Arabidopsis thaliana: one gene and its partner. The protein of the gene in region 1 purifies or fractionates together with the protein of each later gene. This does not show direct contact. Each region holds a gene or a part of one and is shown on either strand. Other genes may lie near its edges.

Region 1 (6,971 bases):
CACATCAAGGACCATCTTAAGTCTTTGACAAAGGATCTTTGAAATAATCTTATGTTTGGGTCGGGTTCCCTCACGAATGAGACCGAGACAAATAACGAAGATCAATGGTCACCTCGGGGTTAAAAAGATGATTGAACCCGAGCCCAATCACAAAGCACCTCGGGAGTAAGTCCGTAAAACGGCTCGGGAGTTAATCTTAGAAACACAAACCAAGCCGATTGTGAGAACGCTTCGAGGACCGCCTATATCGCCTCGGGAGATAGTCACTTGAGCACGAGGGATAGTCATCACCGTGCCCCAAGCCAAAGTGTACCGGTTACCCTGAAGCCACCTCATGAACAATCACTGAACTGCGAAGAAGTACTCCGTGGGGAAACCTCAAGAATACGCGAGACAAAGCCTTTTAAAATCTAATCACGCTCAAAGGATCACTTCCAGAAAAACGGGATCATTTCCGAGATTCTCATAAATGATAAGGAAGGATCTTTGAGGATAATCTGAAATCAGGAAAAATTCTCGAAGTCCCCGAAGAATAAGAAATATTTCCTAAAGCGAAGATATTCTGGAACCGGATAAATGGATATATATACTAACAAATAAAACTACACCATTAATTGAAAATATATGCAATAAATTAAAAATTAGAAAACTACAAAAAAACAAATATATACAAATATTAAATACACTTACCATACATATATATTTTGAAAATTTAAATATTTAATTTTCGATATATATGTTTTTTATATTTGAGAAATTATTTATAATTTTCAGTTTTTCTGTATTCCAAATATAGAAAATACAATAGAAAAGACTTATGCGAATTATTTTAAATTTTCAGTTTTTCAGTTTTTATTTATTCCAAAAATACAATTGCAAAGACTTATGTGAATTCTAAAGAGATCTATAATTTTTCAAATAGAAGTCTTTATTTATATAAAATTAAATGTTTGAAAAATTTAAAAATATATAAGGGTTAGTTTATTTAATATTTTTATTTTTTAATTTTGTTATTTTAAATTTCTTGCATATATTTTCAATTAATAGTATATTATTATTTGTTAGTATATGTATGCAATGTTTGCTATTATTGTAAATTACTACCGTAAATCAGCGGTAGATTGTTCCTTATGAGTCCAATAGGTTATATGTTTAATTCCATGTGGACGCCAATCTTGCATCATTATTTTCTAATGAAATAACGTCGTTTTGGAGCTTTAAAAATGACGTCATTTCGATTTAACAGAAGATTAACTCTGTTAATCTGAATTTAACGACGTGCCCAAAATGGCCAAGTCAACGATATTTAACAATTTTTATTAAGTAAAAAACAAACGAAACTTTGTGACTTAAATAATATTTCGAAAGTTCTTGCATTTTCGTCCCAAATTTGAAAGTTCACGATTTGTTCTGACATTTTCCCTTTTCAAATAGGATCAATTTATCTTAATTAAGTACTCCTGTATTTTGAGCTAAGACGTAAAATCAATTCTTAAAGTGAAAATTTTGTATTGTTAATCTTAGAGTTTTCTGCAAAATAACCATTCAAGTAAATCTCGTTTGCAAGTTTACCCTCCAAGTCCGAAATATGCAAGTCAATCCCACAACCTCAAAAGTCACCCGCAATACAGCCCTCTCGTGTACCGATGACGTGGACCTCAATTACTCTTTTGGGTTTTGTGCAAAAAAACCCTCAATTTAATTTTCTTTTGCAAGACAAACCTCCATGTCAAATAAATACAGGTCAAACCACAATCTGAAAAATCTCTTGCAACATAGCCATTTCGTGTATCGATGACGTGACAGTCGATAACTCATTACTTTAATGCATATAATTTATAAGTCTATCGAATATATTACTTTAATGCATATAATTTAATAGAGTTATTGATTTAAGTTTTAAATAAAATAAAATTGAACTGATAGCCAAACAATTAACCGAAATATCCAGAAACTTAGTAAATATCCAAAATTAGTACCTATAACTATAATTCTAAACTTAAAATATTAATTATTTTTAGAACCAAAACAATCAAATACTTTAAATAATCAAAATATCCAAATATTGTTAGTTATATTTGTGAAAATTAAATACTCTTTTATAAAATAGAACCAAAATTTTAATTTTCTTTTCTAATATTTTCCTCTTTGTATTTTTTTTGTTAAGTTTGGTTAAATTTGGTTAAATTTGGTTAATTTTAGTTAATTTTGAAAGAAAGAAAAACGAATCTGAAAAAAATTTGGTTAGTTACGGTTATCGATTCAAAAATGAGTTATCGACTGTCACGTTATCAATACACGGAAGGGCTATGTTGCAAGATATTTTTTAGATTGTGGTTTGACCTGTATTTATTAGATATGAAGGTTTGTCTTGCAAAAAAAAAAAAAATTGAGAGTTTTTTTCATAAAACTCTTATGTTTTTAAAAAGAGTTATTGAGTGTCACATCATCGTTATACGGGAGAGTTGTATTGCGGGTGACTTTTGAGATTGTGGGATTGACTTGCATAATTCGGACTTTTAAGTTTATCATCCAACAATTGTCTCTCTTTTAGAAGAATTTACTTTTAACAGTCTTGAACTGATGGTTAGAGCAAGGAATTCCCACAACTTTGACTCTCCCACTTTATGTGACCTGCTTGTCTGAAATGTTCTCACCAATGGATTTCAATTTGAGCTACAATACAACTAATATTGAAGAAGCATAAAGAAAACTAGGCTCTCATAAATTTCCCAAGTATGAACATTTGAATGTTGGCAAATTGCACTTGTGTCAGATGCTCATTAAGAAATCTACATCATTTGCAAAAAAAAACACAGGAGAATGTACAACTTTGTCTCACAGAAGAAACGTAAATAAGGTATGGAAGATAGACTTATGTCGAATCAATTTCCTCGAAGTCGTCGAACTCAAGAAGCCTTGATGATTGCCCTGCTGCTTTCCCTTCACCACCAAAAACACACAAAGATTTCACATTTCCATAAAAAGGACAAACAATAAGCCGAGCCAGCGCGAATTAGATCATACCTTCGCAGCATCCTTAAGAGGTCCCCAACACTCGATCCGATTGTACTTAGGTGTGCTTGAATGGAAATAAACCCATACATAAGCATCCATTAGCTCAGGATTCTCTCTAAACATAACTGAATCTCCATGCACCACAGCTTTAAGTACCTATCTCAAACACAACACCAAAGAGTTATTAGATAGTCATTTTCACATTCATTAAGAACCAAATAGACAAAAGATGAAGAAGACTAACCAAAGGCAATTCCTTGGAGAAAATATGATACCTAAGCTCAGCAGCAACATCCTGCAATAAACTCATACCACTCACACAACAATGAATATGTAAACGCAGCTCATCATTCACCTTCTTCCACTCAGCAACCACATCATCTTTCTTGTACCAGCCTTCTAGTTGATCCAGATTGATAACGTTTGAGATTGTTAACGTTAAGTTAGCAGTGAAGTCACAATGCGAAAGAATATAAGTCCGCGGCGTAATAATTCCTCCGTTACTCTTGTTCTCCAATAACTCTCCTAAGAACTCAACTTTAAGCTTTGAAGAATCAAAGTTTGCTTGTGGAACCAAAAGCCTCACCGCCTAATAACACCATCAACATTCACATTATCAACTAACTCCACTACTTAAACATGTAATCAAATTTTGATCTTTTTTGCATTTTCAAGACCTCAAATTCAAAATTAAAGCTAGACCCAATTCAATTATGGTTATAAACAACAGAAATCTACAACCTTTACTAAAAAAATATCAATGAGGATTAAAACGAATTAACCCTAAAATTTGGCTTACCTCGGAGACTAGAGTATTGTAAAGTTCGATCTTTTTGCATTTTCAAGACCTCAAATTCAAAATTAAAGCCAGACCCAATTCAATTATGATCATAAACTACACAAATCTACTAAAAATCAAGATGAATTAGAAAATTTGCCCTGAAACTTGGCTTACCTCGGAGACTAGAGTATTGTAGGAGACACCACCGTCACTAATAGCGGAGCTTCGAGGAACACTAATTCTTCTATTCAAGAGATTGTTGCAGAAACGGTGGTGGTGGTGGTGACGGTGACTGAAGATTTCTCTATTGGGATGAGACAAAACAGGATGGTGGTAATAAGGAACGATGTAACAGGCCATGGAGGAACATAACAACAAGGTTAATGCATGAACAATAACAATGATTCTTCGTCATTGTTCATCTTCCACCATTTTTTCTTTTTTTGTCTTGAGAAACAGAGAAGAGATGTGGAAGAATGTGTTTTAGACGTAGCCACAAATTCAGTCTTGGTGACGAGCTTCTTTCTCCACACAAATTCGATTTTGCAAATTGATTTTGGATTTCGTGATATTATTTATTTATATCGAAATATTGTGATTGGTGGATGGAGTTGAGAGTTGTTCCACGTCAGCAAGTCCTTTTGTTTTTTTCATATCTATAGATAATGAGCTATGGTGGCTTCAATATTAGAGTCCAAGTTAATATAAAATGAATTGTATAATTTTATTATACAAGTTTGCAAAGGTACCAAATACCAAACTATATGATACATATCATTGGTGTATAACCAAGTTTATTTATATTTACAAAAAAAGTTCATTAGGGGGATCATATATATGAAAGTTGGCTAATACTCTCCATATGAGTGACACATCATCACACAAGAAAATGACAAGTGTAATTCTACATTAATTAAATTAAAAAACTAGCAAAACTAATTGAGAAAAAAACAAAAGTCTTTTGTTGTGTTAAATTCTCCATTAATCTCACTCTTAAATGAATTTTCTAAAACCATTCAATAAATAAAAATTATAATAATGTACCAAGCACAACTTTCATTCTATTCTATTTATTTAATTTTAAAAAATTTCATCTAGGTGGTCGCTAAATAATCGCAGAGGAGTCTCTACGATACTCGTTATTCATGTGATTCAATCGTAACTCAGTCGTTATATTTTACGAGTACAATATGACTAATGTTATGACAGCGGGTATTAGTCGTATCGTAGTCGTCATTTAGCGATTAAAGTTACGACTATTTTGTTTAGCGACTCTGGATTAACGACTAAGGCTATTACTCGTAATATAGTCGTAACTTCTACTTTAACGACTATATTGCTACTAATGTTGTAGTTTGAAAACCCGTGTTTTCTTGTAGTAGAGCGGGTGATTATCTAGTATTTCATTAAAAATGAAAACAACTTAGGTTACAATAGAAAAATTATAGACCTATACAATGGTTACATGGCAAAAGGTAAAAAGCATTTAAGCATAATACTATAATAATTTAGAGAATATATTTATTTGGAATTGGAGTTTTGGACTTTCTATAATAATAAAAAATAATATAAACAAGTATTGTATATTTTTTTAGAAAAACTTATTTTTTTGTTCTTTTCTCAAGGCTTATAGTTGATCTTACATACAGTAATTGCTACTTGATTTTATTATTTTTTCTTTAAAATTCAATTTAAATAGATTTATGTTTACCTAAAATATTATTATAAGAAATTTGGATTCTAATAGTATAATATCTTGCATATTATATTATTATGATAGTTGACATATATCATATATGTGAAAACTTAGAACTGATATTAAAGGAAATCTAAAGTCAATATTAGTAATACAGATTTATATATATATATATATATAATAACACCAAAACAAAGTTAAAACAACCAAAGAACGAAACATCTACCAAAAAGTCAAAAAGTAAATGAAAAAACTCTCGGTCTTTCTATTTGTTTTTAGCCTTTGCATGCTTCGTCATGTGTATGGCGCCGGGATCAGGATCTCGAACGAACTCAAATTCAAAAAAAATCTTTGGATGAGATGTTATTCCAAAGATGATGTATTAGGTCCAAATATAATACCAAACCGACAATATTATGAAAATATTTTCCATATTAACTTTTGGCATTCAACACGTTTTATGTGTACTTTGAGACAAGGTCCTAACTATATACACTATCAGAACTTTACAGTATTCAAGCTTTTTAGTTTGAGGGATCAAGGAGGCCTATGGGATTGGAGAGCAAGAGAAGATGGGATCTATTTAAAGAAAGAAGCTGGCGAGGCATTATTAAACCCAGTTTATATGCATAAAGTGCATGATTGGATATATTAAAAATATTAACAAGCTATATAAAAATGAAAAAGAAGAGTTTTCTTATGATTTAAAAACAACAGAAAATTATATATGTATGAGAAAACAATCTTCTCAAGTTATATATTGAAAGTTAGAAATATATATATATATTGATAAAATAGTATATTGATCTCAAGTATTATCATTTATCAAAGTAAAAAATAAAAATTATCAATTGGTAGTGAGACGTGGGTTAATGCTTCTATCTATGGAATTAGGGACGTCAAAATGGATCAAGTTTCATGGGTCAACCCAATTCAACTCAACCCATGAACCCTAATGAGATGAAATTTTTCACTCAAATGAATTGATAGTTCAAATGAGTTATTGGGTCAAATGGTTAGATGGATCAAATGAGTTGGGTTTCAATGGGTTAATGGTTTACCCATTTAACCCACCAATTTTGGCTAAATTGAATTAATCCAACTTAAATATCTAAATCGATATCAATTTGAGTTTAACCAAAACCTCTAAATCAATTGAATATAATCAATCTTTTTACAAATGGCTTCACCAACCCATCAATTTATTCATTATCAACACAATATCATCATCATCATTACCATCTCATAATATCATATTACCATCACCATCATCACCATACCATAATCATCATACTATCTTCATCACACAAAAAATGACATGTGTCATTATACATTAATTAAATTAAAAAACTAGCAAAACTAATTGAGAAAAAATCAAAAGTCTTTTGTTGTATTAAATTCTCCATTAATCTCACTCTTAAATGAATTTTCTAAAAACATTCAATAAAGAAAAAAATCATAATAATGTACCAAGCA
Region 2 (8,388 bases), on another chromosome or scaffold:
GGCATTGAAGATGAATCAAAAGACATGTGAACAACTAAAATGATACAATTGAAGAAGCCATATAAGTGTGTATATTTAGGCAAAAGAATGAAACAATTAGCAATTAACTATTATCTTCCTTCCAGTTTTGTTTCTTGGACAGAGAAGTAAAACAACATGTTACCCCCACATCAATTCTCAATAATTTTGTTTTGATAAAAACAAATCATTTACTATAAAATAAAATAAAAAATTCAGTTACTAATTCATTTTATTGTATAAAAATCATATTGAGAAAATAAAAACAAACTACAAACAGCAGCCACATTTGACTACTTAATTAACAGTTAATTAGTAATATGTTTGAGTACTATGCAGAATATGTAAACTAAAAAAGAAATGTCATCATAATTTTTTCTTTTTGTGTGTGTGCACATGAAGTCGTTTGCTCCGATAAGAAAAAAATTGAGTAGCAAAGATACGATTTTCTTTTAATTTTTGGAAAAATCCAAAAACAAATCCAAAATAATTTTAATTGGACGATTATTATCCGTTATTTTTATATTAGAATAAAAATACCCCAACTAATTATTTGTGATTTTAAAATACTTCATAAATTAATAATTTGTGGAATTAAACTCGTAATTATTTATATACAAAATATATTAAAATTACTAATAATTAGATGAGGTATTTTTATTTTAATACAAAAATATCAGATAATAATCGTCTAAAGATAAATCTCACTTTTTTCTCTTTATTATTTAATATTCTGATCTTTGCGGATGTAATATTTTCTTTATTATTTATAGTATTTATATCCACCATAAAATAAAACATTTATTTATAACACTTTGGACTTTTTTTTGTTGAAATTTTCGTTTTTTTTTTCGTTTTTTTATCATAGAATTGATAAATAAAAATAGAAATGTAACTTTGGAAAATAGAGTTTGCATTAAGAGTTTGTATAACTAATTTTGACTACTCAAAACCATATTTACTTAAAAGATTATGATTTTAAATTTTGTGAATCCAAAGTTTCGGCCGGTTTTAACGGTTTAACCCAAATCCAGTTTTTAACTTAAATCCAAACTCGGCTACATGAACGATTTCTAATTTGATAGTAAGCCCTGGTAAAGCCCAAACTATGATAAGCCCAACAACGTCCGTAGCGGTGTGTGATGTTGAGCACCGTCAGATGTAACAGTGGACACGTGTCAGAATCTTAACGAGTGAGAAAACCCTAGCGCTCCATATTTATTTTCTGTATAAAAACCCAAAGAGAGAGAGAAGCTTATCATCTCTCAAGCTACAAATTGCTCTCGTAATCAAATCCTTATACTTTCTCCAACCCTTACTTTTGTTATTGTCGTATTACAAAATTGTTTTTTTTTTTCTTCCGGACAGTGACGATTGATATTTAAGGTCTCGTTCGTCGTAAAAACGGCCGTAAAAAGCCTATTTGCCGACCATTCTGTTATATCACCACCCATATTCTGAGTCCTACTTTTTGACTTTTGTTTTTCAATCTTTCTTCTAATCGATTTTTTTGGCCAATGATTTAATCAAAAAAATAGACAAGCATATGTCTGAATTAATCCTTGTTGATAAAATCTAATCTTCTCTATGAGGCCAAACAATCTTTGGTTTGTTTTTGTTTATTTGGAAAAAAGGGTCAAGTGATGATTAATAATGCATAGTTCAAATGATCTCCATGATTACTATTCAGTAGCACAGTCTTTCGCTCCTATCTGATGGCCCTCCACTTTTTTTATTGATGCAATGTTATTGGAGCTGTGTTTTTTTAACTCCGCTTAATGGGCCTTTAAAGGCCCAACTAGTGAAAACTAGAAAATACTACAATCTGATAAAAGTTTATTACAATCTATTTTTTCATTGTTTTCAACAACGACACATTCTACAACTATAAGAAGTGTTTACATGAACAAATCGGTTCTGTTATATATATGTTTTTTATACATAACATGTACGTTTACAATTTTCTTAAAACACATCCGAGGAAGATGTTTGTTATGTGCCTGGAAAAGAGCTAGGTGTTGTGCTTTGTAAGATGATGAAAGCGCAAACAACAGAAAGAGAGAAAACAGAGACCCAAGTATTCTCTGTATACATCTCCATCGCGTCTGTTAACGACAACCTCGTCCTGTTCTCTGCCCAGTTCCTTAGTCTATCTGCTTCTGCTGCATATAACGCCCGTCCCTGCAAACACGTACACATCTTTGCGTCAGCTCAGGCTTAACCAAGTGAAGGATTTGTCAAAAAACTTGAACTAGAACTCAAGTGTAACACTTACTTGGTCATCAAACCATCGGCCTCTCCTTAGCCAGGAAGTGACAATAGCTAACAATATCCGAGGAGGAGTTAGGTAATTGACGGCTTTTCCCGAACCTTTCACAACTCGCATTCGTGGTACCAAAGTTCTAGCTACTGTCTCAGGAAGCTCACAGATTATGTTAAACATCTGCTTGTTTTTAATGCTCGAACCACTGCCAAATAAATGGTTGCTTCAATAAAACTCCGGAGCATTCTGTTCTAGGCCTTAGTGACAAAGTGTATGCATACCTGAGAAGAAGTTCTGTCAGAACCATGCCAGGGGATGCAGTGTGAAGGCCAACGTTTGTTTTTTGGCTTTCTTTCACTATAGACCCATGAAACTGCCTAAGTCCACATTTTGTTGAACCATATCTGCGAAAGCTCACAGACTCAGAAATGTGTTCTAATTCATTAGAGACTAGTAACGAATGATTTGAGTTCTTACACGGCAGTGAGAGGAGTACTTGAACCTCCAGAGCCAGCACCATCCATGTTAAAGATGTGTCCACCACTGTGCTGTCTGCTCATCACATCCATAGCCCCTCGTGTACATAGAATTGATCCAATCAAATTTGTGGAGACAATCTACAAAATAATAGTTACAATTAGACTAATGAACTTCACCATAAGCTCAAGCTGAAATTAAGCTTTAGGTTCAAAAAGGATTTTACCTGTGTGATATCTTCTTCCGTGAACTCGAGTAGCGGTCTAAAACCTTTGTTAGTACCAGCATTGTTTATCTATCCAAATGAATATAGACAGTGAGCAAACATATGACTAAAGATACAAAAAAAGTTACAAACTGTACAAAAAGAAATATGTTTCTTTACCCATATGTTGATGGAACCAAGCTCTTTTACAGCGAAATTCGACAGCTTCTCAACGTCTTCGGGTTTGCAAACATCACAGGCAATACCAACTACCTTAGCATCACTCAGTTTCTTTCTAGCTGACTCGCTAGCGTTACTCATAATCTCTTTGAGATTTTGCTCTAGCTCTTTGACAGTCATATCAACAGATTCAGAACTGATTTCACAAACAAAAACCAAAAAACAAATCATATTAAGACTTCATTGCTTGATAAAAACTAATCCATAATTCCATATATACAATTTATCAACCTGCGAGATGTGACAATGACTCTGTCTCCAGAGAGAAGAAACTCTCTAGCAAGAGCTTTCCCTAGTCCCCTAGTGCTAAAACACAGCATAAAAACATACATCAGCATCAAACCAAAACACAAAGAAACAAAAATCAAAAAATGCAAAAACAAAAGTAAAGAAGGTACCTTCCGGTTATAACAACATTCCGTGGACCGGCTCGATAATGATCTTCCAAAACCATGTTAGCACCAGTCATGGTTCCAATGATAATTCCACCAAGCCAACTATACCAAACCAATGAGTTCATCGAACTATCTCCACCTTTCATCACAAATACATACACTCAAAATCTCAGTCAAACAAAATTACCAATAAAAAAACTCTTCTACAATAGTTTTTGCACTAACCTGATAATTGAAACCCAATCAAAAGAATAGCTCCAGTACTTGTCATCGTCACAATGTATCTCGCAATTTGAACAGCAACCTACAAAATCACAAACACATAAAAATTAAGCTAATCAAAGCAAAAAGATTGAAAATTTCATTAAGAAAAAAAGAGGAAACTTTAAGACTAACCGAAGAGAAAACCATCTCCAAGTTTTCAACTTTCTGATTATACTCATCTTTAGACAAGAACCCTAATTTACTAAACCCTAAAAACCCAGATTTCAAAGAATCCCACGACCCATTTCCCTTAAATTTCTCAACTTTTCTCTTTCTTTCAACTTTTTTCTCACACCGATGCACATAAACCCTATTACTACGTTCTCTACAAGTCAATCTTGACCCGACCCGTATCGGATCTCTGAAGAAGAGACGGTGCTCCAAGACTTGTGGGTACACTTGAATCTTCGTTAAAGTAGTCATAGCTATGGAAGAAGAGTGAGATAATGATAAGCTTTGAAACTCATACAAAAAGATAACTTAGAAAACAAGATAAACGAAGGAGCTTTTTTAGGGACCCAAAAGATAGATTGTTAGATATTTTTCAGCTTCGGATTCGTCGAAGACGTTAAATAGAGTGATCGGAGGAAGAAGAAGGAGATTAGGACGAAGAAAGAAAGAGGTGAGGGAAAGAAAGAAGGAAGAGAAGTGTGATGGCCACACGTTACAGCAACCTCATCTCGTTAGCCTAACATTGACACGTGTCATTTTGTGTTTCTTTTGTCCCTTCGCATGTTTTCAAGATATTTTTTTCTCTCTTTGGGAGCTACTTTAGATTTTGGTTCACATGAACAAAATTTTGATTCAGTTTTGCTTCTAGAAAGCCAAAATTTGATTTCAAATTACATTTTACTCAGACTTCGTCATTACTTATGTACCTGAGTAAATTATTGTAGTATCCATTGTCACATTTGAGTAGATGATAGAGATTATTGTCAAACTACCACTTACTTATTTATATTATTTTAGAACAATAAAAAATTATAAATTAAAAATTTAATATCAAACAAAGAAAAGTTGATAATGTTTGTGTTTATGATAATTTTCTCCTTTGTGTAAACTTTAAGCTTTTTGTCTCTACCAACTCAATAAATTTATAGTCCCTGTACAAATTTTAAAAATTAATCTTTTTCTAAACTATAAAACAAAAATTTGGACCCTTTTTATGCTAATTTTTTAAAAACACATTAAAATTGACATTTTCATACTAAAAAAAAAAAAATTGTAGGTCTTTTCCATACTAATCAGATCCTTAAATTTACCAAAAAAAATTTGGATCTAGAACAAATGCGCCTCATGCACCTCCAAAGAGCCGGTCTGCTTTACGTGAGACCCAAATATCAGTAAACCTATTAAAAGTCCAACTTCCCTAATAACGAAAACCTAAACGTGAAAGTATGTGGACGTGTACATATGTATATATGCGTTTATATATTTTTCCTCAGTAGCTGAATTTTATGTGTTTTATATGCTCGAAAACATGGAAATAAACATGATTAGATCATGAAGATCATTGAACCCCTACGATCCCTTGAATGTCCAACTTTTGTCTCTTATTGATCACTTACTATTTACTTGCTTCACTTACTTACAACTGTGACACAATAACAACCCTTTCCCCCTCTTTTATTGATTTGTCCTAGTTTTACTCTCTTCTGACAGACTTGTTTGAATTACTTCTCTTCCAATGGAATTCGATCCATAAATACTATGTTGGATACAAACCAAAGGTCCCACATCGAAAGTTTAGAAAAAGAGTTTCTAATATATAAGCCAAGTCCAACTCCAACTAGTATGAGGCCTTTTGGGAAGGAACCCAATAACAAATCTTTGTGGGCTTGAGCATATAAGCCCAAAGAGGACAATATCATACTAAATGAGAGTTGGAATGGGCTTTGAAAGCCCATTAAATGGTATCAGAGCCAGGTTGAAACACTGGACCTAGGGCTTGGGCTATGATCGATGTGGGAAAATCTCTCAAACATGACACGATAAGAAGGTGCCTCAAGAAGGAGGTCCAAGTTCGTGGTCTTTGGTTTGAAGGGGAGATTGTTGGGTACAAACCAAAGGTCCCACATCGAAAGTTTAGAAAAAGAGTTTCTAATATATAAGCCAAGTCCAACTCCAACTAGTATGAGACCTTTTGGGAAGGAACCCAATAACAAATCCTTGCGGGCTTGAGCATATAAGCCCAAAGAGGACAATATCATACTAAATGAGAGTTGGAATGGGTTTAGAAAGCCCATTATACTACAGACGATTAACTGTGCACTTCCAGTAGTCGTGTTGTCAAAATTTGACTAAAGCAAAATAAAACATGCATGTTGGTGTGTCCTTACCAGATATGTTACACTCCTATTTCCCTTTAACCATACATCTAACCAGTGTTCCTAAGGCAAGATAATCACTAATAGCCCACAACAATATAGTTCTAAGTGTGCAATTCTCCTTCATATAAGAATCATAAACCTCTATACATTCTTTCCACACACCATTTAGATCATCTATAATAGGTGCAAGATACACATCTATGTTGTTGTGTGGTGCAGTTGGTCTAGGGAAGAGCATAGTCATCATGATGTTCCCAGCCTTCATACACATAGTCGGCAACATGTTGTAGTTGACTAACAACATCGATCATGTACAATACTTTTTTCTGCATAGAGAACGAGTTCATCCTATCTGTAAAAAAGCCGAGTCGAAGGTTCCTTGGTTTAGTAGAATACTTTGAAAACTTATCTTTTATTTGAGACCAAGTCAATGAATCAACTGGGTGTCGCATTGGACCGTCTACACTAGCATTGTTGAAATGCCAACACAACTCCTAAGCAATCCTTTTTAATCTAAATATCCTCCTAAATCTATCCTTAGATCGAAAAATACCTCTGAACCTTTGCGGGAACCCCTTCTTTTCCTCTCTAGTATGCTTATCTTACTTCCATCTCGAAGCACTATATCTTGGACAGCTAACAAACTCCTCAAACATCTTTCGATAAAGGATGCAATCATGTGTAAATCAAATCATAACTAAAACCAAAAAGCTTCAAGAGCTTCTTCATCTCATGAACAGATTTTGGAAGAACATTATCCACATGTAACATGTCGTGAACTAATTTCATGAACTGATCAAATTAGTTCTTGGATATACCACTTTTAACTTTTATGTGGTAGAGAGCCATGATTGTAGACACTTTAGTATAGTTGGGACACGTCGAGTAGAGTAGAGTTCAACATCCATCAACTTCTACCTAAACTCAGATTCTTCTTTACTTTCATCATCATCACCCTAATCTCCTCTTTCAGTCTAAAAAAGTGGCGTTTGATGAGAAAAAGGAAAAGTATTAAAAAAGAATTTTTTTCCCTCTTATCATATGTATTCAATTACATGGATATCAAATGACATATATATTAGAAAAACAATTGACATGAATTATAACTTTTGTTCATGTCATAAGCAGCTGAAGAATTACATAAATTTAAACAGTTTTACAAAAATATTAGAACCCGTTTTCAATACTTCCAACCTCGTATATATCTTCCAGATGGATTATTATAACTTATTTTAAACCATATCCCACTCATTCTGGCAGTCCATACACGTACTTGACCACATTGAGGAGCCTCTGTATTTTGACTGTATGCTTCTACGTAATTACGATACCTCATGTTAAGCCCTTGCTTAAAGAGACAATGCCATTTTGTTATATTTTTTCCCTCGTCCTGAAGATGAATGGTTTTAATAGCATGGAAGTTTAGGTGTTGGACTCCTAAGTCTTTTTTTGTGTAGCGACAATGATATTGGAGAATTCTACCAGGACCGAGATCGTTTATGATTACTATTGCATTTTTCTCGCAAGCTTCAGTTTTCGTAGAACAAATAGCAGTAACTAATATAAAAAATATTAAACGTAACATTTCTCGGATCTAAATTAATTATTGGAGAAACAAGGGCATTAACAAGTAGTATTTATAATTTTTTTTCTCTGTGTGTGTAAGAAGCTTTTTCTTTATATAATATTAACTAAGTTTAGACAAAAACATGAACAAATTAAGCCTTTGGTTAGAAGAGATTTTAGGGTCGAAATGTATGCTTAACCATGAAGAATAAATCAAATGAACTAACCTTAGACATTAAAATTGACCACAAAACCCAAACTTAACCATATTATAAGTTTAAGAAGTTTATCTAGTTTGACTAAAAACTTTGAAAAAATAACTAGATTGATTGTCAATCGAAATAGATAACTAGAGTAAACTAAATTTTCTGTTAAAACACTAATTAACCTTCAATCAAACTTATTATAACCATTATGCCATACCTATAAAAAATTATATACAAATTTGATTCTTTAATTAAATAAATAAAAAACACAAAATTAAGAAACAAAAACCAAAAAACATAATAAGTCTCGATTTAGGTTTTTCGTTTCTTAAGTTTTTTTCTCTCTCACATATTTTCCAATTCATGTTTTATCTTTTTCGATCTTTCTACTAAACCCTAGCCATCTCTCTTTGAATCTAATGCT

The links.
Region 2: the proteins of AT1G44000 (region 1) and NYC1 purify together in Arabidopsis thaliana (affinity purification with western blotting, with the first as the bait; one study listed by BioGRID). This does not show direct contact.

What each region holds. Positions count from the first base shown.
Region 1 is NC_003070.9:16,705,363-16,712,333, forward strand, and holds AT1G44000 (STAY-GREEN-like protein), read right to left. Parts: upstream 4,352-6,971; 5' UTR 4,160-4,351; coding exon 3,974-4,159; intron 3,608-3,973; coding exon 3,263-3,607; intron 3,175-3,262; coding exon 3,028-3,174; intron 2,944-3,027; coding exon 2,839-2,943; 3' UTR 2,642-2,838; downstream 1-2,641. UniProt on the Arabidopsis thaliana protein: Magnesium chelatase involved in chlorophyll a degradation in the chlorophyll-protein complexes of photosystem I (PSI) and photosystem II (PSII). Contributes to the degradation of PSI and PSII in the thylakoid membranes.
Region 2 is NC_003075.7:7,682,407-7,690,794, forward strand, and holds NYC1 (NAD(P)-binding Rossmann-fold superfamily protein), read right to left. Parts: upstream 4,601-8,388; 5' UTR 4,286-4,600; coding exon 3,995-4,285; intron 3,903-3,994; coding exon 3,824-3,902; intron 3,738-3,823; coding exon 3,602-3,737; intron 3,510-3,601; coding exon 3,435-3,509; intron 3,340-3,434; coding exon 3,144-3,339; intron 3,054-3,143; coding exon 2,985-3,053; intron 2,899-2,984; coding exon 2,759-2,898; intron 2,686-2,758; coding exon 2,563-2,685; intron 2,487-2,562; coding exon 2,294-2,486; intron 2,200-2,293; coding exon 2,011-2,199; 3' UTR 1,828-2,010; downstream 1-1,827. Other genes in the region: ROPGEF9 (RHO guanyl-nucleotide exchange factor 9), read left to right, coding at 1-8. UniProt on the Arabidopsis thaliana protein: Involved in chlorophyll b degradation. Belongs to the chlorophyll catabolic enzymes (CCEs).